Neodiprion lecontei: one gene and its partner. The protein of the gene in region 1 binds, or shares a complex with, the protein of each later gene. Links are inferred from orthologs where the notes say so. Each region holds a gene or a part of one and is shown in the gene's direction. Other genes may lie near its edges. The genes, in order: transcription initiation factor TFIID subunit 6 and transcription initiation factor TFIID subunit 9.

Region 1 (9,695 bases):
TTTGAATCGACATCTCTTTGTGTTTTGAGTTATTCAAGTGAATATCTTTTTCAACTGAACATTCTATAGCTCTCAGTGCATTTTTAAAAAAATTGGTTTCGTTGCCCTGAAACAGAAAATAATACGTTCAATTAAACGAGTGTTTCTGTACATGTTAGATATATTTCATAAATACTTACGCTAAGATTCTCCACTATCACTGTACACTACCGAACCGAGATTTTTGTACCAGCGCGTTGCGCGCCGGCTTTCAAATGCCACGCTTTCTCTCATAACTAACGATAAAAAGTATCAAGTCCACGCGCAAAGGGCGGCATGGAACTTGAAAACATTATTATTCATAAAAAAAATTGACAGAAGAGCTACAAGATCAGCACATCGAGAGTGTGTAACTCTTTTATGTACTGTTTGCAAAATCGACGCGTAAAAAATCGTGTCCGATTCCCGTTATTAATTTACGCGCAAAAGGCTGCGTCCACTTCTCGTGATTATGCGTAATAAGGCGCGACAGATTACACTGTCAAAAAACTTTTATCATCCGGGGCTTGTTCCAAAAATTCTTTAGAAACTCAATCCACATCTGCATCTTTTTAAATTAGATACATTGCTATGCGGATTGTTGCTCTCAGAATACAAAGCGATATAGGGAGGGAGGTTGGAGGGCATGCATTATTGTGTGGCGTGACGGTCGGTGGTCCTCTTCGACGCGAAGTCTTCGAGCTCAGCATCTCTTCCCATCTAGCGTACCACGGAACGCGATAGATGATCCAGAGATGCGTGTTGCCCATTCAGACGATCACAGAGATCAATTGAATGGAATAACGATCGTTAATGACTAAATAATTGAATTGCATAATGATTGAAAAATGGTTGCAGAGTCACAAGAAATGGAAAATTCAATCTCGTTAATATTCGAATGCTTACAAATGGTTGAGAGACTCGAATACGGAATTTTTTGGGAAAAAAATTTCTGTGATCGTTTGACGCTGTGAATTACAAAAGTTAGTAACATCACGGTACATCGCGACCTTCCTACCCTCGCCTGTTTCCCAACGAAGCCACCCAACGGAAAAGAGAGATTCACACACTCATGCATAAACCCCGCGACGGATCCCAAAACGGCCACCTACCTACCCGGTTACCTATATTCGATCTAAACGATTCTCCATTTTTTCCAATGCACATCATTCTTCATCATTTGCGCCGTGGTCACCGACTTACATTTTCGTTGGTTACCTGTTGGGAACAAAATGTTCATGTATCGTAGTCTGCCTTCTCAGAATACAGTATCGGTTGTATCCCGCCAACCCTAATATTGCATTCATTATTTTAGTAAATGCTGGCAGACTATCGGTACATTAACCTTTTGTAAAATTGATTAAAAACATCCTGAATGCCAATTAGCATTTTTCTAAGCGAGCTAAGCCTGCAGTTGATCAATACTTGTTGGATGTTAAAAGATTGAAAATGATATATAATATAAGATGCAAGTTGATCAATACTTGTTGGATGTTAAAAGATTGAAAATGATATATAATATAAGATGCAAGTTGATCACGTTACGTTATGGCAGACTTTGGAATTTTATCAATTTAACAGTAATGTGAATAATTGAATACTTTCAAAACCTCAGGTGAACCCACCACTTAAACGGCATCATCGGTAAATTCAAACGTAGATTATTACATCAGTTACGAAACACAATTCGATCTCGCGAGTGCCGAGTAAGAGATGGATACCTGTCGCGATGCTCATTCCAATTTTAGCAACGTGCATATTTTTAAATTTTAAGTAAGCTACGCTAAATTCAATTCAGAAAAAAACTGATTCGACATACAGTCAAGCTCGTTGCGATTAGGAATGAGCCTATCCATGCAGCTAAGAAATCGAAGATTTGTGTAACAATTGTTACCGCCACGCCACGTGACAGAGGAATCCCAGGGAAATACCCGTAACCTAACACATGCAAACTCACCAACGTTGCCGAAAAATGAAAAAGTTACTCGGAAGTCTCTGCTTAAATCTGTGAAAAACAAAATAGAACACTTCAATTAATTTTTTAAATTGGCTTCCAGTTTCCAAATTAATTACTACTGTTGTCTAGTTTCATATTTATGCATTGCATGTTGTGCAAGAACAAAAGTTCGACTTTAAATGTACCACCTTAGATTATCAATCAATAATTAAAATAAGTATTGTTACCTCCACTCTGGACTGCTCCACGGTTTCACATATAGTAGTTCTTGTAGCATCTCAGGGTTACTGGTGAAGCGACGCACTTTTTTCACAATTCAGATCTTCACTAATCTCTTGTAATCCATAAAATCAGCACTGTAATAACGCTAGCACTCGATACTACACTCACTTTTTGGTCTGTAGCTGTCTGTTTGAACCGACTGAATAAGCTTGCTAACAATGCAATTGCGCATTTACCGAAAACCAGCCAAAAAAATAATAAAATTGACACTCCACGCATAGAGACAAATATAGACGTCACTGAAATCTGAAGTTACACAAAACTATGAAAATTCGGACACGAAATTCACCTTCAATGTTCGTAGGATGTTTTTATTTCGATAACTTGGTTTTTCTTCAGGATACACGCTGCTCCTCGTGTATTATTCACAAATGAGTATGGTGGAAATAAACTGATCGAACAACGTGACACCACCTGAACAACGCGGTCTGAATGTTGAACCGATACTGAGAGCACGCGATTTGACTCAGATGGCTCGGAAACGACTGATGCTGTACGGCGCACAGAAGAAACTTAAATCAGTTCTCTGAAGAACGGAGGATAATAATTCTCCCCGCCCTCTCTGTCGCTCTTCACATGGAGTGGGGATAGCTGCACGCGCCTGCCTATCTGTTTTTCTCCTCTGTAGAATTATTATCCTGTCCTTTAGAGAACCGATTCGAATCCGTTCACGGGACGCTTACACCGTTGCTTACGCTCTATTTTATACATCTCTATGGTCTCAGCGGCCGAATGAAAACACCGCCTAAGCTGCGCACAACGCGATCAAATGTGTAGAACATTGCCGTAACAATGTGCGACGTCAAACGAAGTATGAATGCTCGGACCAATTACGGATATTACTTGAAAGGGATTTTCTCAGCTTTTCAATTTCACTATGACGACGGTATGTTACCAACGTTTTGCACGCGATAGTTGTTAGTTATGAAGAATTTCTGTTACCGACGTCGTCAGCTGCCTGGTTGATGAAACGTGAAACTGCTAATACCCCCAAACCCAGCAAACTGTTACGCACAATAACCCAGCGTTATCAATCTTTATACATATGCCCTCGGTCAACGCACACACTTAAACTTTCGCCGAACCGACTTCAGCGATTCTCCGGATCTAACTGCCTTTCCTCGGAGTTCGGACTTACGCGACAGAGTACGCGAGCGGTATTCGCGCGAGCCCTGCCCTCTGGTGGTCGATCCATACAACCGCGGCACGACAATCTTTCTATCGTGACAACCACCGTTGCCCCTCAAATTCAAACCACCACACTAGCCAATATTTCATATTGTTGTTCTAAAAGGCTGCGTGAAAATTGTTGATTATTTGCTAAATTATGCAAGCCGAGATAACTGATGTAAGTGGTTTCGTTAATGCTGAAACCATCACAAGTCGTAAACTAGTATTGTAAAAAACTAACACGGATATTGATAAGATATTAGTAAAAAAACGGAGCAGACTGTCATGTCAACAATGTACAAATCGAGACAGCCCTAGACTTAGCTAAAACTGGGTCAAAAGTTAAAAATACACTGAGTTTTTGCCAAAAATAAACGTAAGGTGCACTGGAGTCGTACAGATAACAACACTGAAACTTTATTCAATGTTTGAATTCTATGTTATCGTTGATTCATATGAAAACGAATAATCGATAACGGCTAGTGCATCGGAAGTAAATGTTTGTACTTTTCAAAACCTAAATATTATTATTGTATAAGATTTATGTATATTCTATGTGAAGAATTTCTCAATTGTTCATCTTGTTATACATATTAGCACACTTTATTTTTATGTCTTTAAATAAAAATATACGTACGATGTGTTCTGTAAATTAATCTCCAAAAATTACTTACAATTTCGAATGGTACAAATGATTTTATGTGTGAGATTATTTTTTGCAAATGAATTTTATCACCATTTTCTTATTTCTCGTTTGATAAATTATTTTAACTCAATGGATTTGATCACTTTTAGCTCTTTGTATTTTACGAATCAGATAATAGTCATTCATCTGGATCTTCCATCATAACAAATCCATCTATTTCGTAACACAGGTCTGCAAAGGATTGCTCCGTCAAAAAAAAAAAAATTCCGACTTGAAGATTTTAATGTGCCGAATTTATATCTGCTTTCCATTTTCTGCTGTCACGCATATGTATATTACAGGATATGATTTTTTTATTGTTTAAAATTAAGAATTTGTTGTGTTTTGTTTTTACATTTGCACTACTTTAATCTATTTAAACAGTATTCGTAGTATTCGTACATGATACAAACCAGTTCGAACTGATGAAAGAGAAAGAAACATATCGCCTAACGCCGTTTTATTCACACCATGCATGCGTCTGCGCAGTTCTCGTTGTGCCTTCATGTCGTACAGTACGTTAAAATGTTGTCTAGTGTGAAAGAAAATGACAAAATAACTAGAATTATACTAGTAGATAGATTTTCTTTCGATTTTAATGCGTAAACATTTTAATTTTATGACATTTTTTATAAACATTGTTGCTATCATTAGTGTTTGATTATAATGTGTAAGCAAAAATAGCGTTATATTAAAAAAAAATTACATGAAAAATATACGTGGTTCATATTATTTGTTACTGTATTTCTATTCAAGAGCATCTAATCTAATAAGAAGGAGGAAAAAAAAGATTTTCTTGCAGACCAGTGATAATTACAATGAATATTATCCACTTGTAGTACTTTCGGATTCATTAAAATTCTGTTTCAGTTTCCCTTTTTCGTTTTGTCGTGCAAATTTGTATTTTTAAGAGAATCGATGTACATACCGTTGTGCGAAACTCAATCCTTATTCCGATGTATCGATGAATGGAATCGATTCTGCCAAAAGGCGATACCAGCCTGTTTATTTTGCCGCGTTTAAAGTGGTGGACTACTTCACGGTAGCTTCGTGGCTACCACAAGCCAACGTGGACAATCATGTGAAGCTTGTCGATAGTTGAAGCCTGTCAAACGTTTGTAGGTTATGTTTGTGAAATCGATGCTGTTATTGTGAAAAATTAAGTATAAATTGATCACAGATGAACTATGAATGACAACGATTCGATATACGGGACGACTCTGTCCCAGGAGTCCATGAAAGTGATCGCAGAAAGCATTGGGGTCGGAAATCTTCCTGACGAGGCTGCCAAGGATCTCGCCGAGGATGTAAGCTACAGGCTAAAGGAGATCATTCAGGCAAGTTGCGGTAGTATTCTCTGTTTTCTCCTCTCAATTTACATATATTCGACGAATTTTAAACTCTCCGAAGTCACCACTGAGCTACGTTTTGAAATATTTAATCTCGTTTGCCTACTTTTCAATTTTTATTTATCTCATTTCGCCATCTCTGGACATATTTCGTCCTTATTCATCCATGTCGATGTAAAATTTGACTGTATATGAATGTTCGCCACATTTTTCCATTCGTTTTCAGTCACACATTAGTCATATTTTACCTAATTATATTGGTATTGAAAAGGCGTTCACAGTGTAAACATTGTGGATGCACAAGCGCGGTTAGGTTACCATCATGGTGGAGGGATTCAAGAACTGCGAATGTGTACGTACACCACATACGCATACAGCCGTACAGCTCTTGTATCGCAGCAAATATTTTTATTCTTTGTAATAATTTCCCCCTTCTGTCGTCATGACCACCATACACATTTCATGCTCTGCATTCCAATCACGTTATTTTTGGGTACATTTGGCTTTTTATTTTATTATTTATGACTATTTATAATTTCAATACTGTTTCAATATTCAGCTCATTATTTAATTTCTCTAGCTGTTTTTGCCTACCAAAGGTCTTATTTCTTTACTTTTGACCATCAATTAATCTTATTTGGCTATTTCTAAACTAATTGTCATCTATTTATGGCAAACTAATGATAGCTGACTGTTTAGCTGTATTTCAACTGTTTTCAAAATTGTCCCTCATCCATGTTTAGTCACATTATAATAATGATTTGACTATTTTTTTTACTTCATTTAGTCATACGTAGCCATGCATAAGCATTATTTTTTCCCTCTTTCACAATTTGTTAGTCTGTTTAGGATGTTCTTGAATACATTTCATCATTTTCTGCTATTAATTGAGTTTCTTTGACTCCTCTTGACGTACACTAATCTTAGTCAAATTTTTTTACCTCTCATTAGTTCTTTCAAATTATTTTTGGACAGATTACGGCCTTCAACGTAAATCCTTTGCCGATAAATAGTTTTATTTCACTATTTTCAATTGTATTTTCATTAAAATTGGCCACCAGTTCTATTTTACAGGTTTTATTTAAACATGTGTTGGTTCACCATTATCCGTTTGCTCATCATGTTTGATTACTTTTTGATGCATTTCGACTGGTTTTAGTGTTGCTTTGGTCATATTTGGTCGATTTCACATTTATTTGCCATAATAAAAGAGATTTTTCTACTTCCAACAATAGACTAATTTCATCACCCACCTTCGTGTTCACTTTTCATATCATCCTTAAATTAACTTCTCAAATACCTATTCAGGATGCAGCAAAATTCATGCACCACAGTAAGCGTCAGAGGATGACTGCACACGACATCGACCATGCATTAAAGATAAAGAACATCGAGCCGACATATGGCTTCTTTGCGCGAGAAAACGTCCCCTTCAGATTCGCATCGGGAGGAGGTAGAGAATTGCACTTTGTCGAGGACAAGGAGATAGACTTGAACGAAGCAGTGTCCAACAGCCAGTCGTGGCCTAAGCTACCGCTCGAAGTAACGTTGCGAGCCCATTGGCTTTGCATTGATGGCGTCCAGCCGACGATTCCAGAAAATCCACCTCCTGTATCCAAGGGTGAATTGAAAAGCCTTATCGGTCATTCACGAATATTTCATCACTTCATGATGCTGTTCATCTGAAAAATAAATTCAAAAAATTTCCAGACGCGCAAAAGGTTGAGAGTGTTGATCCGACAAGCAAGCTCACTGCCAAGGGTCAGAGTGTCGGCATTGGTAAGCCGGGAGGAGGAGGAAAGAGTCAAAAGTTGAGAAACGTTGAGACGGTGCATGTAAAGCAGCTTGCTACCCACGAGCTCAGTGTTGAGCAGCAGCTCTACTACAAGGAGATAACCGAGGCCTGCGTTGGATCGGACGAGGCTCGTAGAGCTGAGGCCCTGCAATCTTTGTCTGCGGATCCTGGTTTGCATGAAATGCTTGCCAGAATGTGCACCTTCATCGCCGAAGGCGTCAGGGTCAATGTGGTGCAAAACAATCTCGCACTTCTCATTTACCTCATGAGAATGGTCAAAGCCCTTCTCGACAATCCCAGCCTTTATCTAGAGAAATACGTGAGTAATTTGCCACAAAAAATTTCACAACACAGCAGCAGCGGCTTTCACGATAGTTGAGAATTCAAGGAGATCATGAAAATCACGAAAATCCAGGCTAAACGAATTGTCAAAGAAATTATAGAAATAACTGCAATCTCTTCTTTCTCGATGATTTGTTCCTTGAATTATTTCAAATCTTACTGGCTTTTATTTCTCTATTTTAACATCAATAGAACTAATTTCAGCTGCACGAGCTGATACCGTCAGTAGCGACGTGCATAGTCTCTCGGCAGCTATGCATGAGACCTGAAATGGACAATCATTGGGCGCTGAGAGATTTTGCATCACGCCTGATGGCCCAGATCTGCAAGAACTTCAACACGTCGACGAACAATGTGCAGACCAGAGTTACTCGCATGTTTAGTCAGGCGCTGGCTAAGAATAGTCAGGTAAATCAATTCGGGGTAAGAAATTATCGACATCCTTACCTGCGGCTAAGAGGAAACTAACACTTCTGTTATCTTCAGACGCCCTTGGCCTCGCTCTACGGGGCGATCGAAGGACTCTCTGAGCTCGGCCCAGAGGTGGTCAAGGCGCTGATCATTCCAAAGATAAAATCCATATCTGAGAGGATCGAGAGCTGCATTGAGGGGCCCGTACTTTCCAGTATTGATAAAAACGGTGCTGGTCATATCAAGACGCTGTTAGTTGTGAGTGAACTTTTAAACTGCTCGAAACTCTCTTCGCAGTTGATTTAAGATTGTGTTGGCTTTTTTAGAAAGTTGTCGCTCCTGTGTTGAAAGGCATGCGTCCGGCTCCGGATTACGTTGAAGAGTACAAACAAGACTTTGGATACGTCGGTCCAGTGCTTTGTGCCGCTGTTGCTAAAGCTCGAATCCAACCTGCAACTCTTACCACCTCCGCAACGGCCTCCACCACTCTCACCACAAACCAGCAACAGGGACCAACCACTGTGGTGACAAAACCGCTCGTTCAATCAGGTAAAATAACATGTTTCACTATTGGGAAGCAAGGGAAATGGCGCAGGATATTATTAATGCTGTGCCAGTTATGCTGAATTTCTTAGAGATGTTTGAAAATCTTGTGGCAATTGACTGACTCTTAGTAATTCTAGGAAATCTTCATAGTTTAGGAATCTATGATTCAAAACAGAATAAATTACGCAAATCAGGGTAGTCTCTATTTGGTAGGTTGAAAACACTGAAATGGTTGGCGATTTTTGTTTTACCTCTAAAAAGAAACGAAAAGTCTGAGGATTTCGTCGAATGTGTTACGGGGTGTATGATTGTTATCACGATGAGCGGCTATCGATGACCAAATTACCAAAGTATAATTTCTCGAGATAGATTACGTTGTTCATTACTTTAACTTTTATAGACACAAAAATAATCCATAAAATTACCGTTTTGGATCTGGAGAACCTGAATAAGTAAAAAATTCCCCAATTCAAAATCAGTAGCAACCCTGTTTCGTGAATCCTATTGCCGGGAATCACCAAAATCATGTTACACCTTTCAAAAAATCCTCAGATCTTATGAGAGATCCAGAACGATCATTTGATATTGACTAAAGTACATACCTTCGGGAATGCGAATTCGTTATGCTCTTTTCTTCTGTTGTTTTGGAATCGTCCGAAACTGTGTATACTCTGAATACTTATTTGAAAATTGTTGAAATTTTTCTTGAACATCTCGGTAGACAGAAAAGGATTGGAACTTATTGAACCCGATTCGTTTCGATGATTTTCCGGTCCGAGTTTCACAAGAAAATTGATCCATGATAAGAAACTCAATGTGAATTAATCGTTCAATTTTTTTGAATATGTGTCTAGGGATTTGATATGTTTCCACTTTCTTACGTGTCAATTACAATAAAATCACTTGGAATGTTCCCGGTGAATTTTTTTGTACGAAAGGATCAAACAGGAATGGATCGAAACGAAATTAGGTATTACAGCTTGAATTGAATTGAAATTGCGTTGTAATTCAAACATAACAGAATGGCGAAGAAACGAATCCGTAGACACGCATTGAAAACGCTAGAACGATTAAATCGGATTGATGTCAGCATAATGCAGTACGTTTACTTGATAATTTGGAATTGGCAGACGCCAAAAT
Region 2 (9,563 bases), on another chromosome or scaffold:
GCATAACCATCCCCATGGCGATACCAGCAGCTTCGCCAGTCACAGCGTCGTCTTGATACAGGTTGAACTTAAGCTGTTCGTAGACGTCTTGTCTGTGGGAACCCATCGCCGCAAGTCCAAGTCCAAGGCAGCCGCCGTGACGCACCATCTTTGCAATAAAGTACAATTCGTTAGATTCACAGAACTCTCGTTTCTTGCACTTGTACATTAGAGTGGTGGATTATTCTTGAAAAAGAATTATGTAACGGATATTATACGTGTAAATGTGTGAATAGAATCAATTAGAACTGATTCTTAGCCTTCGTCTTGGTAAAAAGAATTTACCTATTGGTAATAGAATATAATGTGAGAACACAAATAACCCATATTTCTAAACTAAAAACGTCGATTCATTTAAAATTCAGGTAAAAAGCTCGAAAATATAAATAAACATTGCAATAAATTAGCATTTATTCATATAAGCCTGGTTTTCAAATCAAAACGAACATTTTTATCGCGGTCATTGCAGTATTTTTTGTCAGTTTTATATGCTGAAATTTTTACAAATTCAGCTAAGAAATTTAAAACCCTATGATAATATGACTAGTTAGTCATTTGAACAAAAATCTTACTTCATTTTGTGCATCCTTCAGCTGGCCGAGGAGATAATCGGTGATGGTTGCTCCATGGTTGGCGTGAATTAATCCCAACGCGTAGAGACCACCTCCTTCCGAATATCCGGCACCGGCGCCAGTCTCACGTGGTAAATAAGACTGCATCAAAGCCAGAGCTTCCTGTTCATGGCCTCTGTGTATAACACCCAATGACGCCGTGGCTGTTAACTTGGCCCAATTTGTGGCGCGAGCCAACCACTCCAAGTTGTCACTGAAAACGAGTAAGCAAGTCAGAAACTTCAGGTGAGAGTTGCAACCAAAAGTGTGAGGTTGAAGTTAGTATCGTTAACGTGAAAATTCAACTATGGGAAAACTTTTTACCTCACAATTTTAAAATTGCGTAATTTTGCGTCAACCATTGAAAATGAAGAAATACTCCTACTCAAAATTAACTTCTTCATAGGTACATTGAAATTGAAAATTAATGAGATTTTTCTTAAGGTTTTGCTAAGCTAACGTTACACACTTCAATTTTGTCCAGCGATTGATCACATCCATCCTATGTTATTCGTAGATTATTTATGGAAATTCACTTACCGAAGGAATTGATCGCTTGTCGTGCCGGAGTGCATGAAGGCATTCGCTATCACGGTCGCAGTGTGGCAAATCGACACGCGTATAGCGTCTTTCGTGTTCTTGAGAATCAGCATATCGGTATGATTGCTGCGAATTAAAAATTGTAGATGCAAATCTATCGACACCTCACCGCCCAAAATACTCGACAGCGCATCCACACGCTCCTGCTGCTCCCGCTCCTGGGCACTCTGAGTAATGTAAAAACAAATTTGTAGTGTGACCAACATTTGAATAGCAGATTTTAAACCATACTCGCTCAAAACTGGGTTTTAAAACAGCAGATGATTAACTACTTTGAAATTTGATGTACGACAGTAACTCAACTACTTTAACAATCAAATAATTATTCAAATTTTTTAAGATTTCTTGAAATCCTGAACATCTATTACACAACTTTACCGTCATAAATGTATAGCAAGACCTCGGTTGGACTTACCAAACTTTCTATGCTGCGCTGAGGAGTTTCGTCAGCAGTAATCCCATTTGGTTCGGTCTCGGTAGCCGGAGAATCGGCCGGTATTTCGGCAGTAGCTTTAACGGCAGGTTTTATAATAGGTTTGACCATAAGCGCAGCAGGAATCGGGGCAGTTGCTCTTAACGCCTGAAGAACACGTCCAAGGAATTGCTGAGTCGCAGATTCATATAGATCGAACGCGATCTGATAAGCCATCAATGAAAACTCCTGTGAACCTTTGCTCAATCTATCAAGAAGTTCGGCAACAGCTAGCGGATCGTCAAGAAAGATCAAACACTGACACATGTTGACGTAGTCGGGAGTTCCCAGGTTCCGATAGAGGCTCACGAGACACCTGAGCACCGTGTTGCGGAATCCCCGATTCTGAATGAGGCTCATAGCGACTTGAAAAGCGTAGGACAGCATGCCCGCAACGTCGTCCTAGAAATGTAAGAAAAGAAACTAATCTGGCGTTCAAACGCGGCACTCAAAGATTTTCGTAACATTCTTTCATAAATACTTACAGATTGCATGATAGCAGCTTCAAAAATGTCCATCCTGCGAGTCTCCAGAGCAAGACCTAGCGCCTGGCGGTACTGACCGTCGTCCAAACATCGCTGAAACATCCGATTCACGATTCCCTCCAAACGCGGATCAATGGCCTTGCTAGATACTGCAGACTTTCCTTCAACTTCGTGAATACGCTGCTGAGTATAAAAGTCAATGCACTTGGCTGGAAAAAGAAAATTTGTTTTAATGTATTAATTTGATAAGACCTTTATTTAGTCCAGTCAATAGAGACGAAAATCACGTGAGATAAAAGGAAATCATAAATCGTGAAGCGATTTTTACAAACCTTCTTAGCAAATGTTTAGTATCAAAAAAAGGAAAACCATTTCCCTCTCTCTACTGCCCAAAGACACATAGCTATACTAAAGTCACGGCATATATTGGTTACATTTCATTTAAAACATATTCTCAAATATCATTCTGGATATTTGCATCTGTTGAGAAAAACGTTAACATAGATTCCACTTATTTGAAGCAAAAAACTGTTGATTACTGGGCAAAAATTGATGATTTTTACTGCAGAAAATTTAACCAAATCGTATTTACAAAGATTTGACTTTCCTGTACAACCTTCAGAAAACGTGACTCAAAATGATAATTTTTTCTAATAGTTATAGATGTTGAAAAACAGGTAAATTTCAAATTCTCGTACCATGATTAATAAATTAATAATGGAATAAATTATAGATACATGAGTTTTGATGTGTAGGAATTCGCGTCCTATATCTTTTTGTGTAAAAAAAAACAGTTTTTTCAAATGGCGTCGTCGGTTATCAAAAAAAAAAAAATGACAAGTTCAATTATAGGAGTCACAGGTCAAAGACCTTGATTTAGAATTAATTTGAATAAACAAATTTTCGGGTGGACTTCTCGCATCTGTAATTCAAGTCCATAAAACGATAGTTTTCAATACAATTTTATGACTAGCATTAATAGTTAAAGTGAAATTCTCTATTGGCTAGACTAATTGATCCAGAACAAACCAGTAGCAGCAATTTGGACTAGTTTCAACTCACCGATCGTTGTGTCGACATACTCATTGCGAGCGTTAACGTCGAATAGCTCGCCAGCGCCAAGAGCATAAGTCAGAGAATCCTCGAAACTTCCAAGGTGGTAGTAAACCTTGCTGGCTACGAGCGCTGCCAGCTCATGCTGATTAAATCCCTTGTCTTCGTGCAATATTTCGCTGTAGATAAGTTAAACGACGCCTCATGATTATTATTATAGCAATTTTGCTTCTTAATCTTAAAAGACAACTCAAGTAACACACATACAGATTTGTACAAATAAATAAGTATTGTGACACGTACATTTTTTCAATCGCCTCGGATATCTCTGGCCAAAATTCGTCCACAATGAGATCTAGTTTTTTCAGAGCGAACACTTTCAGCTCAGGCATCGGCTCTTCCAGTAGGGAAATTATTCCCGCTGGAAAATAAATATGAACAATGAAAATCGAGTGTTGTCAACATATTTTTATCCATATATTATAGGTTAGGTATGACAAGGCTTGCAAATCATGTCATGACTGAAAACAGTGACTTGCACACGAGCGTAGCCGGCTTTCGAAAAACTTCAATGTCCTGTATTTTTGTCGACAATTGAAAATTTTCGTTGCCGGAATAACGAAAAACCGTTTTATTCACCTGCTGACGTGATGTTCATGTTGTTTTAGGTGAATCTTACGATTTAACGCAATTGTTCAGGAGACGAAAAACGTACAACGACTTGACGCGGATCAAGTCTACTGAACTATGCCGCAAATCCGTAATCATCCGCAATGGTAACAAGCGAGTGTCGAGGTATCGTATTTCAAAATATCGAACAGCTCTGGAATTTCCCGCAGTCTCAACATCAAAATCCACCTTTCCAAAAAGCAGCCAACCCGATATAAAACTCAATTTTTATGTATTTATACGTTATTTATGATTATAGAAAGGGTGACAGAGTCACTTGACCTAATTTAGTTTTCATTCCAGTCCATTGAACTATGCCGTTAATCCGTAATAGCGGTGAACAGCCGCAATCAAAACGGTAGAACGAACGAATATCGAGGTATTGAATTTTAAAATATGGAACTGGTCTCGAGTTTTTACGCAGTCTACCATCAAAATACACCTTTTCAAAAACAAGCCAACTTCATATCAAACTGAATGTTTTTGTATTTATATAGTATTTATGACCACAGAAAGGTTGAAAGGGTCGCTTGAGCTAATTTAGTTTTCATTTAAGTCCACTGAACTATGCCGTAATAGTGCTGAACAACAGTAATCAAAACGGGAAGACAAACGAATATCGAGGTATCGAATTTAAAAATATCGAACTACTATCGAGTTTTCCGCAGTTCCATCAAAATCCACCTTTCCAAAAACTAGCCTACTTCAGAGAAAACACAATGTTTTTGTATTAATGGTTCGACAGGGTCAGTTAACCTAATTTAGAAACAGCGACCAAGTTTGATATTTTATGAATTTAAAGTCGAAGGAAGAACACGAAATATGGCAGATAAACCGAAATCAATGAGCCAGATTAAACATGTACCGAAAGACGCGCAAGTTATAATGTCAATAATGAAAGACATGGGCATCACTGACTACGAGCCAAAGGTTATAAATCAACTCCTCGAATTCACTTATCGTGAGTATATCCTCTCTTGTATCGCGTTGTTTTCATCGTTTCATTAAAATGAATTACAATTTTACGTACAATTGTTCTCAGGTTACGTAACCTGTATACTGGACGACAGCAGGATATATGCTAACCATGCGAAGAAGAAGTTCATTGACTTAGACGATGTTAGACTCGCTGTAAAAATGCAGTTAGAACGTTCGTTCACCAATCCGCCTCCCAGAGATGTACTACTGGATGTAGCCAGAGCAAAGAACAATATTCCGTTGCCATTTGTTAAGCCAAACAATGGCCTGCGCCTTCCGCCCGATCGTTACTGCCTCAATGCCACAAACTATAAGCTGAAAAACGCTACCAAAAAGATCGTTGGTAAGCCGTTACACGCCATAGTTGGAAATAATTTTAGCGGAGGTCAACCCAGGATCAAGATCGAACCGAACAAAACTGGATTGTCCATCGTCAAGAGGCCTGGCACTCTCGCTACTGTTGCCCGAACCCAAGCTATAACAATTCCAAAACCTGTGTTCAAATTCACCACCGGTAAATATAAAGAGGTTTTCTTTTTTTGTAGAGGAAATTGGATTAGTAGATTATTTTCATTCCTATTCTATTCATACTAATAATTTAAATACTTATCATTTCGCAGATACTCGATAAATTTTCCATCCCCAATACCCCATCCTACTTGCCAATATTTCTGTTCTTTACCTTCCATATGAGAATTTATCTCAAGTTTCACATGCATATCAGTAGAGTTGATCGATCTATCTAGTCTCATTCGGAACTTCCTTCAATGATTGTAAAGACTTTCAGGAAAAATACTAGCAAATGATTCTTCAACAGTAAATGAATATAAAATTGTAGTGATTGAGCCTTTTACAAATGAAAAAGTATTACGGGGTTAAAGTTAGTAACGATATCTTAACGAAACATTGTACAAAAAAAATTTCACCATTTTCCAATTTTAAAATGACTGTAAAAGTTAAATTATCAAAATATCAGCATGTCTAGCTTATTATACGTTTTATTGAATTTCAGACAATTCGAGATTAGCGAAATAACGGTTTTCCTTAACATGCATAGTTTACAATAACGTCACTAACTTCAACGTGATAAAGTATTAATACAGTAATTGTTCTATGCATTGAAGTGTTGATAATTATCCACTGATTAATAAACTCTTGGAATGTGAAGCGAGTAAATCAAAATTTAGAGAACATATTTTTACTGGAAATTAAATTTATGAATTTAGAAGCATCTTCGGTCAATGAATTTAATCTTTGAAGATTGTTCAACTATATTGTATACATCATTATTATCTGCTGATACTAACATGCGATAAAAACATTTCGGCAGGTGCTGGAGCTGGAGCTCCAGGAGGAAAACCGGCTGTTGGAAAGCCAAAGATTCAAATTTCATCAAGTCAACCTGTGTCTGTAATAAAAATGGAAACTGATGATTCGTCGAAGAGAAAAAGAGAAGAAGAAGACTACGATATTGCCTGACTAACTAAAAAAAAAAAATGTACCCGCGTCATATGAATAATATTATTTTATAACAATGGTCTGTGCACCCCAAATCAACACTTCTGATTCCCTAATCGTTCTGATAATAAATACAGTATTTATCACAGTTACTCAATGTTATAGGCAATTTAGCTATTATTCACTCCCACTTACGTTCACAGTTTTCTTTCAATCAAATTATCCACCATTTAAAAAAATGAACCAACATTTACCTAAATCATTTTTAGTTTAATTTCTAGTCTGTCTTTGTCTGTTTGGTACGAATAGTCAGCATCTGGCCGAATATACAATTATCACCGTGCTAAAGTTTACAATGAATATTGATCATTATTCCTATCTTTAATTGTATTTACAAATGAAACTTGAGATACATCGATAAGAAACATCATACGATCGGAATCACGTTGGCAGTTAATGTAATGCTTTGTTTTCAACAAATGTAAAGTAGTTATCATTTGAAATCTGGAGTATGGGTCATGGGTGGTACCAGATAATCAATCAATCGTAAAACTCGTTGAAAAAAACCACCAGCTGTTTTTGAAAGGTGTTTTGCTTTTCTAAAAAGCTCTAAGATTGACCTATAGATTGATATTGTGTCCCAGAATACAAAGAAAGTTGACTTTGGAATGGAGTCGCTAGAAACCATTGTCTCCTAAAAATTTATAAAATTGATCTGCAACAGATTTCTGCATCTGCATACTGACATTGGTATTGCACCTGAAGAAGTATTACACATTCTTTCACAGTAATAGACTTGTAATTCTTAATACTTTTATTGTTTAATTAAAAGTCGTCAAACTGAACATGTTTGAGTTGATTAATTAAAGAAGTAGAAATCCCAGTTTAGCAATCAAGCCAACAAACAGGATGTAACAATATGCGAAAAAATTGTACGGATTAAAATTGATTGATGGATTTAACAGTGGCGAATGGCGTGATCAATTCAGCACTTTGGCTTTGTTAGATAATAAAATTACGACCACTACTGTATAAGGATAATATCTCAGTTAGTTGCAACGATATACACACTACAAAAACTAACTGAGTAGATTGACAAGTTTTATCAGTAGCCGAATATATACAGTATACTACTATAAATACTGTCATCCAGATAATAATCTTGTTTGTTTTAAATCAAAAATACCAAAATGGGCTAGATCAAATGTTTAGATTTTATCACATTTTAGATTAGATGAAAGAACGTTGTAATTGAGCCTTAATCAATAACCACAAGGGGATTGAAACTCAGATTTAAATCTGTTTTGATTATCAATCACGAATCGATAATTGCTGGCACTATAAGTACAGTATTCTGCGAATAACAGGGCAATTCAAGTTTTTGTTGCAAAAATGAAGCTACTGCTCATAGCTGTTCTTGCGATTACTGCCTCAGGTACGATACCATTCAATATTACTTGATTTTTCTCGATTATCGATTCACAGTGCCGTGAATTTATTTCATCATACCATTTCCAACAATTTCGAGGCACTTGGTTTACATCGAAAATTAATTATTTGATCAAAATAATGCAGTTTACGCTGGGGAGGTGATTGAACCTGAGCATGACTACATGTATTTCCCTGACGGAGACGGAGTTCCTCAACTGATCGACCTGCTGGAAAAGGGTGAAGATCTGACTGGTTTTGATTCGAGTGATTCCATCCTTTCTCGCAATGTCGAAACCATAACATTCAATCTTTTTACTCGGTGAGAATAGAGTTCTGTTGACTTTTAAGCGCCGTCTGACCAGCTCAAGCTAATTACAGTCTTCTCTTTGCACAGTAACAACCCCAGGAATTCTCAGCTCTTAGTTCTCAACTCCGTATCTAGCGTCAGTGGTAGTAACTGGAGCAGTTCTCGCCCGACTCGATTTATCACTCATGGATGGAGGTCGAACCAGAATTCAGACGCCTGCATTACCATCCGCGATGGTAAGAAACCGGTGCAAACTTATTATCAAAAATAAACTGTAGTTATATTAGAATCCAGAGTAGTTCTTGATACATTTCAATAAGAGATCTGTTGATTTACCCCTAAGAAAGGGCTGAACAAGGAATGAAATATTAACTTGGCGTTGTATCTTACAGCATCTAAGCGGATTTCGATCATCCCAGCTGAATGGAACATTTATCAGATGAATCCTCTGCTGTCCAAAAACGGGTGAAAAAAAAAAAATATTCCATTCAGCTGGAATAATTGAAATTCGCTTAGACGCTGTAAGATACAGCGCAAAGTTAGCGTATCATCCTTTATGCACCCTTTTTTTAGGGTAAATTAACAGAAATTTTATTGAAACTTATCAGGAAATATAGAACTAATCTGGATGTGAATAGAATTGTAGCATGTTTTTGACATAGAGATGATGGGGATGCTAAGTTCACACCGGTTGTAAGAATTACAGGAAAATTGTTTTTTCTAAGACGTAATTTGACTTCACATCGTTGAGTCCTGTGTTCATATTTGTGTTCATATCTCCTCGTTTTTATCCTCAGCCTACCTAGCTGAAGGCGACTACAACGTGATTGTGATCGATTGGAGTTCCATTGCTGGTGCTCTTTACGTGAGTGCTTCATCAAGCGTCAGAGGTGTTGCCGCCAGAGTTAGTCTGATGATCAACTTCCTCAGCGCCAACGCCGGCCTCAACGTAGCATCGACGAAACTCGTTGGACACTCTCTAGGTGCTCACGTGTCTGGAATTGCTGCCCGCAACGCTGAGGGCACAATCGACGCTGTCATAGGTGAGTAAAAGGCAGATGAGATTCTTTAACTCGTTCGAAAATCCGGTCTTCTTTACACAAGGAATCGTTTTTCATCATTGCACGAATATTTTCACAGGTCTCGACCCAGCGCTTCCTCTTTTTAACTCTGCTGGAGCTGGATCCCGAATTCACCAAACTGACGCTGACCATGTTCAGATAATCCACACAAATGGAGGACTTCTCGGCATCATGGATGCCATTGGTGATACCGATTTTTACCCCAACGGCGGTAGCAGTCAGCCTGGATGCGGACTGGACCTTGTCGGTAAGTTTCGCACAAGTTGAGAGTTTGTCATTGCGCATATCGCAGCACTCTAACACATTATCCTTTACAGGGAGCTGCGCCCATTCCCGCGCCTATTACTTCTTCGCAGAATCTATCAGGAACCCGACCGG

What was found.
Region 2: the proteins of transcription initiation factor TFIID subunit 6 (region 1) and transcription initiation factor TFIID subunit 9 are in contact, whole or in part, in a crystal structure (PDB 1TAF), measured with the Drosophila melanogaster proteins. The link is inferred for Neodiprion lecontei from reciprocal best matches to the Drosophila melanogaster genes Taf6 and Taf9. Residues at the interface, in NP_524161.2 of Drosophila melanogaster: Gly18, Ser19, Ser20, Ile21, Ser22, Glu24, Ser25, Met26, Ile29, Ala30, Ile33, Val35, Ser37, Leu38, Ser39, Asp41, Ala42, Glu45, Leu46, Asp49, Val50, Ser51, Lys53, Leu54, Lys55, Ile57, Val58, Gln59, Ala62, Gln71; in NP_523391.3 of Drosophila melanogaster: Lys20, Asp21, Val24, Ile25, Ser27, Ile28, Leu29, Glu31, Leu32, Val34, Glu36, Tyr37, Glu38, Arg40, Val41, Gln44, Leu45, Phe48, Thr49, Phe50, Tyr52, Val53, Thr54, Ile56, Leu57, Asp58, Lys61, Thr71, Ile72, Asp73.

What each region holds. Positions count from the first base shown.
Region 1 is NC_060264.1:21,661,340-21,671,034, reverse strand, and holds the start of transcription initiation factor TFIID subunit 6, read left to right. Parts: upstream 1-5,162; 5' UTR 5,163-5,299; coding exon 5,300-5,449; intron 5,450-6,769; coding exon 6,770-7,082; intron 7,083-7,171; coding exon 7,172-7,575; intron 7,576-7,802; coding exon 7,803-8,021; intron 8,022-8,084; coding exon 8,085-8,267; intron 8,268-8,335; coding exon 8,336-8,558; intron 8,559-9,695. UniProt on the Drosophila melanogaster protein: TFIID is a multimeric protein complex that plays a central role in mediating promoter responses to various activators and repressors.
Region 2 is NC_060262.1:4,423,980-4,433,542, forward strand, and holds transcription initiation factor TFIID subunit 9, read left to right. Parts: upstream 1-4,590; 5' UTR 4,591-4,751; coding exon 4,752-4,890; intron 4,891-4,971; coding exon 4,972-5,421; intron 5,422-6,237; coding exon 6,238-6,386; 3' UTR 6,387-6,517; downstream 6,518-9,563. Other genes in the region: 26S proteasome non-ATPase regulatory subunit 1, read right to left, coding at 1-148, 612-864, 1,191-1,417, 1,666-2,124, 2,208-2,416, 3,270-3,439, 3,564-3,681, 3,900-3,918; phospholipase A1 VesT1.02, read left to right, coding at 7,758-7,800, 7,941-8,115, 8,191-8,339, 8,901-9,146, 9,244-9,432, 9,503-9,563. UniProt on the Drosophila melanogaster protein: TFIID is a multimeric protein complex that plays a central role in mediating promoter responses to various activators and repressors.